Linked DNA regions of Tribolium castaneum. The protein of the gene in region 2 purifies or fractionates together with the protein of the main gene of each other region. This does not show direct contact. Links are inferred from orthologs where the notes say so. Each region holds a gene or a part of one and is shown on either strand. Other genes may lie near its edges.

Region 1 (2,622 bases), on a different chromosome or scaffold from region 2:
GCCTATACTTGGCTTGGTGCATTTAGGTTTCACCACCCTGCTGACGCCGAAAATATTCCTACTTTTTTCAAAACTACAAAAACTTGCACTTGGAGAATTAAAATAATACAATCATTGTTGTGGAACAAATGCAAGAATGCGGGATTATTAAATTAAAAAACTAGTTATTTGATAAAAAACAGTTTATTCAAAAATCGCTGATGTACACTGACAAACAAACAGAATTGGCAAGAAACCAGGTCAGTGGTTTAGCTCGTAATTCGGGGTCCCTTTGTGACACTGAAGTTACGTGCCCAAAATGACACCTTAACGTCATAATCTCAATTTGCACACTACAAATTGAATTTCCTTAATCCTAACACAATTCCAGTTTAATGAGCCGTGATGATGATTGTGACTGCGACGTTTTGGAAACGAAACAGAAGCTCAAACACATCAAATGCAAAATTATTAAATTAATGAATGAACAACTATCCAAGTCGGAAAATTTCGTGGAGGATGAAATCAAGCGAAATGGGTGTTTTACCCGAGGGTTAGTTGTGGTTAAAAAGCTGCCAATTAATTGCGAGTTGTAGGTGTTGGTGGTCCTTGTGTTCCTCCAGGACGTGGCTGTACTTTTTAGGGTTTTTAACGATGATATTTGTAGCGGTTTTAATGGGGGCGTTTATGGGGGCCCGCATTTGCGGGAACGAGGCGGGGTCTTGCGATGATTATGGCGTATTTTAACACTTGTATACTATATTTTATCCGACACCTATTATAATTGGTTAAGGTGCAAATAAACAACCAGTTGGGTCGAAATGGCGTTTGATTTAAATAATCATATTACAATAAAACAATGAACGCAATTTTGGAAATAATCTTAAATAAAAAAAATACGAGTTTACTTCTCCTCACACCATTCGTTCTCCTTGCGCACTTGCTCCTCCTCGGAGGCTGTGAAGTCGTTCTTGATGTTGAAAGTCTTGCGGATCTCCTCGGGGGCCTTGCCCTTGATCATGTTGGCGACTGTCTTGCAAGTCACATCGAGCAGCCCCTTGATGTCCAGGTAATTCGCCGCCAGGATCAGCTCAAACAAAGTGCCTTGGTCCACTTTGAGAAAATCGGCGTCCCATGACGAAATATCATCCGTGCGTTTCTCCTTGTTCTCGTCGTCTTCGGGCGGTGGAGGATCATCTTTGTGATAAGTGGACCACTGGATAACTTTCTTCAAAATCGCCGAATTGACATTGGGGAGAGGCACCACTTCCTCTTCCTCCTCGTCCATCCCCAGGTCCTCCAGCATGGTCTTGATGGTCACTGAACATTTCGCGATCTCCACGTCCACCTCGAACGTTTCACCGTCGGAGGAACGCAGTTTAATATTCGGCATTTTTCACGGTTTTTCTTCGATGACAGAATATGACAATAGACGGCAATAATGGTGGATGACAGGTGTAACGCGCAAGCGTCCCCACACGGGCGCCAGATTCGAACCAATTGTTATAAACAAATTAATTCAAAACGAGTTATTGCAGCAAATACGCAATGACGCGGCAAAATTTTCATCAAAACACGTAGCGCGTTATTTGCCTCGGATAATGTAATATGGGAAGAGCCGCAATATAAAGCTTAATTGTGCGTTAAAATTGTTGCACTTGGTTTGCGCAAGACCCCGCTCTTGATTTAAAAGAGGTGGCCCAAGAATTTGGGAGCCAGATTGTCCGTCTTCACCGCCTGTCTCCAAGCCAAACAATGGTAAGTCTGTCTGAGTCGTCTTTTTTGATTTTCTCCTTATCACCCTCTTTCTTACACATTATTTTGAAATTTTTGCGATAACACTCTTTATTGCATAAAAACAACTAATTGTAACAATCTGACGCAACAATTGACCGAATCTTTATTACTTGAAAACTTCCAATTCTTATCTAACTTGACTTCTCAAGTGTTTTGGAGCAAAACACAAACAAATTGTTATCTGATTTTTAGGGTTCCACAACAATGAAAAAGTCCATTACGGACCACCGAATCACTTTGTTGTTATTCGTCAGCATTATTTTCCTATCTATTGAAATTACCCACGGGGCTTTGGTCAAAAACCCCAACTTGCTGAAAAAAAATCATTGCAGGTACTAATTACATAATATCAGGTTTATTTAATTAATTAATTATTTAAGGACACACATTTTTTCTCCCGTGTGCCGCGGGCAGCAAAAGCGAGACATTTTAAGCCGTCTCAGTGACGAGTACAGGTAGTCATTAAAACAATTAAAGTGCAAAAGTTTGATTCATTTGTTAGGGTGCCAGCCCTGGATTCCGATTTTTCGGGGATTGACCGGTCCCGCGATTTCCCTACAATCCTTAACAGTCCGAGTCTTTTCGGGGAACTACTGAAAAAAGCCATAGAATCGTCCCCCGAGTTCGATCCCGAAAATAGCAATTATCTGAAGTGAGGAGAATAATAAAAGACAGGCCGGACAGTATTACCCCAGTATTCCTATTTATTTATTTATTGGATAAAAATAAAATATAAAAACTATGTTCGAGTTTTATTTCTAATCAGAAAATTTGGTGGAGGAATCTTTTGGAATACTCGTAAGTTGCAAAAAGAGTGGCAGTGGATGGAATAGTCCGAACTAACGT
Region 2 (4,354 bases):
TTATTTCTTGTGTCATTCTAACAAACCATGCAAAAAATAAGTAAAAAACATGTCCCAAAATTACGCTTGTTTAAATTTTCAATTTTTATTAGTCAATTATTTTTTGGGACTGGCGCTAACTATTTTACGTATGTATATTGTATTTAAATTATATTGATTAAATAATCTAACGTATTTGTGCACATTTAAATTTATCTTTCTAATAAACATACAAAAAATGTAAAAAATAAAATACATAAAACAATAATAAAATACAACAAAAGTACACAAAACGATTTCTGTTCTTAAATTATTTTAAAAAATGTGATTGTTTCTATTATTTTTTTATAATAATTAACATGACAATACTTAACATAAAATTTAAACACAAAAAAAATTATAAAAAGCAAACACACCTTAAAAATAGGAGAAAAACAGAAACATAGACGTTGGTGTGTAATTAAATTACAGGTATTTTTTTTAATTATTATACGAGTAGGTATTTCAAAATTTAGTAATAAAAACTGTAGCTCCAGTAAATAAAACACCACAAAACATTAAATCAAATGTTAAACACCAACAGGGTCTAATGGTTCTAATGGGTGGAAACCTACCAATGAAAAAATAAATGTTCAAAAAAATAATTGTTTGGTTGTAATTAAAATTATTGTAAGAAATTAACATAAAAATATAATAAATAATTTAAAAAAATATTCAAGATAAGTCTAATTATCACAAAAATCAGCAATTGCTATTAAATAATATTAAAATAACTAAATACAATTCCTTAAAAGAAATTAATTAAATTAATTAATATCAAGTATTAGCAAAAAAAACCATTTTTTCTTATGACAGTCTTAAACAAACAATGCTAAAATGCTAAAATATCGTTTTGTTCAGAAATAGGTAAAAAAATGATACTAGGCCTAAGAAATAAAAATAAAACATAAATAAATTTAAGCATTGTTTGTTTTAGAATAACACCTAGAAATAAAAATATTTCCATTAACTAATATCGAAATATTTTTTATTTTATTAATATTTTTAATTAATTAATTTTTATTATAATAAATTCTAGAATAAATCTAAAAAAATTCACATGCATAAAGAAAAAAAAAGCATTTAATACTTAACGCTGACTTCTGTGTGATTATTGGTTTTTAAGATATAGTAAAAATACTTTTAACAGACTCACCTTGTGTAAATAAATAAAATGACAAAATTCCTCTGAAAACTTCACTTTTTTATCAGTCTGGCGTCGTATTTATCCACATTCAAGTATTTAATAATTATTATTTGCTTAGAATTAAAATTATTTCAAGAAACATTAATAATAAATAAATAATATTCAAGATAAGTCTAATAATCACAAGAATCAGCGTTTGCTATTAAATACTCAATAATTTTCTCTGTGCATGTGAATTTTTTCAGATTTTTTTCTACAGTTCTTTAATAAAAATTAATTTAATTAATTAATATCAAGTCGCTGCACAATATTATTAATTCTTATGACAGTCTAAACGCAACAGTGCCGCTTAAAAATCATTTTAGACCTAAGAAATAATTAAATAAAGATGTATAAATAAAAAAATTCAACAAATGTAATTTTGGAGTTAGCAATATTTGTTGCTCAAAACACCATTTAAGCATTATTTCTTTTAAAATAACATCAAGAAATGAAAAAAATCCATTAACTAATATTTAATTTTATAAATAATAATATTTTTAATTAAGAATTTTTATTATAAGGAATTGTACAAAAAATCTGAAGAAATTTACATGCATAAACAAAAATAGAAAGTATTTAATAGCAAACGCTAAATTCTGTGTGATTAGTAGTTGTTAAGAGGTAGTAAAAAATACTTTAAATTAGCAAACTTCCGTTGTGTAAATAAATAATTAAATAAAAAATTAAATATTTTAAAAAAAAATGACAAGATTCCTCTGAAAACTTCAGTAATCTATCATGTGTATTGAATGTGCCTCAGTAAAATTTTACCAAACAAAATACCAAACGACTTACTTCATACCAGTCTTGTTCGTAATCATATAAAGGCAACAACGGCCACCTTAAGCGCACAAAGTCTCGCCAACGCTCGAGCTTCACACACATGAAAAGTATCTCCCGCCACCTGCTACAAACTTGACCTATGCTCCACAGCGAAATTTCGTCTAAATATTTAAACATATGCATAAGAACTGCAATTAAAGTGTCAGTTTTTTGAGATAAATTGCAAAAAAGGCAAACCTTCCGGTGGAAATAGCTCTAAATTCAAGTCAGTTACGTGATGAGTGACGTTTGAGAGCCTTTGTATTTCTTTAGTCAGGGTATCCACCCTTACGGGGGCCATTTTGCCCACGAAGTCCTCGTAAAGGGGGACGTTGGGCATGCTTTCCTGACTGTTATCCACCGGCTCGTCATTGCCCGAATCACTATCACTGGATCTCTGAAAGTTTCCTCTACTTACAAGGCATATAAATCATTTTTTATTTACTTGGAAGGTTGAGGGCCTGTCCATAATGGGGGCAGTGTTGGGGTACAGAAAAGCGTGGCAGGTGGAGCACACAGGGTCGTCAAAGCACGGCCCATAATACCCATTGCACGTGTGGCACGTATTCTGCAACACCCGTGTTATTTTCCGGGAAAAAAAATCCCGACACTTACTGTTACAATCGCGCAGGAATTTCTCCGATTTCCGTTGATTTTCGGGTGCACCTCCTTGTCCCCGTTCTTGCGACAGTCTTCATCACGTCGTGGATCACAAATTGCAAACGTATCTTCAGGAAACATGGTTTTTTCTAGCGCATTCCCAATTTTGATGTGAATTGTGTCAAATTAAAATTTGTTTGACATTGACAGGAAAAAAACAACAGCACATGCAAATGCGATTTTTCCAAAATAAAACATTTCCAAAAGTAAGGTTATGCAGGTTATAACCAAACATAAATACGTTTCAACGGTTATAAAACCGAGTGTAAATTATTAAAAAATAATTAACTTATCGAATTTTCTGTTCTACTCTTCCATAACTAACAAAAACCACAATAATAATAACATTATCAATTTATGACGGCTTTGACAGCAACAACATGACAGTTTGCGGTGGTTAGTTCGAGTTACCGAATGATTTTCAGCTCGAATTCTCGAATTAGCAGCGCCAATTCGAGTAAAAAAAAAATCAAACAGCAACAATGCAAAAAAATGCACAAATAATGCAATTATCGACTCAATTCGGTCAGATTTAGCCAATATGAGAAAAAACATAAATGATTTAGATCAAAAACAAGACAAAAATCTATACAAATAGGCATTTTCTATAAAAAAATTTGTTTTTTTGACTTATTTTTGGCAAAATTTTGCCTAAAAATAAACTAAATCGAATGAAACTGGCTCAAGTGCTACGTAATTTAAAAAGTTTTCAAACAGTTAAAGCACGATTAAAAAAAATATTGTTACCTCACAAAACCTGTTTAAACTATTGAAGAAGGCACATTTATTTAAGATTGCTTCTTGTCTAGACTAGTAAATTTTCAACTGGTTTATAACATAATTTCTTAAAATAATTGCATAAACGGGCAGGAAAAAAACAAAATTTACCAAAATTTTTCAAAAAAAAATATTTTTATATTAAAATCTCACGAAAAAGGCAAGTTTAATACTATTTTTAGCCTAATGTGGTAAATGTTTGACTTGTAGAAAGGAAGTTTTCCGAAATAATTGCACTTCTCAATAAATTTAAATGAAATAAAATGCTCGAACAAAGCTATAATGTAACTAGGTTTAACGACTTAATTTGTTTTTGTTTTTCGATCAGTTTAAAAAAATCGTTCAGAAACCTTAAATACTTTTATTTGAAAACTTGATAAAAGCAGAAAACAACATCTTCGACCAAAAAGAGCTAAATCGAGCGAAACGAGTTAAAAAACTCGCAAAAAGCAAGTCTAACACCATATGTGGCCTAATTTAATGGCCTGTTAATACCGAAATTTTTTGTTTCTGGCTGAGAAACGTGCGTAAAAAGACACAAACAAACCAAAAACTTCTGATGTTCTGATCCAGTGATTTTTCGTTAGTACAGGGTGTCAATAAAAGTAGGTATAAATATTTTTACTATACTTTAAAAACAAATAATCGCACTAGATTCAGCGTTTGTTATTAAATACCTTGTATTTCTCTTTATGCCTGTGATTTTTTTAGAATTGTCCTACAATTCTTTAGAATTTAAATTAATAATTATCTGTAAAAATTGTTATTTCTCGTTTACAATTTGGCGCCTTTACGTACTTTTATCGTTTACCGCATTATTTCATCAGATTCTATCAAAACATACCGAGCGTATAAGTCAACTAGAGTTTGAAGTTATATTTTACCTTT

Evidence for each region.
Region 1: the proteins of morgue (region 2) and SkpA purify together in Drosophila melanogaster (affinity purification with western blotting; 3 studies listed by BioGRID, with this or other methods). This does not show direct contact. The link is inferred for Tribolium castaneum from reciprocal best matches to the Drosophila melanogaster genes morgue and SkpA.

The regions. Positions count from the first base shown.
Region 1 is NC_087402.1:1,038,949-1,041,570, forward strand, and holds SkpA (S-phase kinase-associated protein 1), read right to left. Parts: upstream 1,451-2,622; 5' UTR 1,373-1,450; coding exon 884-1,372; 3' UTR 791-883; downstream 1-790. Other genes in the region: uncharacterized protein LOC103312555, read left to right, coding at 1,735-1,737, 1,969-2,108, 2,157-2,231, 2,279-2,432; mitochondrial ornithine transporter 1, read right to left, coding at 2,539-2,622.
Region 2 is NC_087403.1:6,162,776-6,167,129, forward strand, and holds the start of morgue (uncharacterized protein morgue), read right to left. Parts: upstream 3,070-4,354; 5' UTR 2,771-3,069; coding exon 2,645-2,770; intron 2,598-2,644; coding exon 2,475-2,597; intron 2,427-2,474; coding exon 2,228-2,426; intron 2,179-2,227; coding exon 2,003-2,178; intron 1-2,002.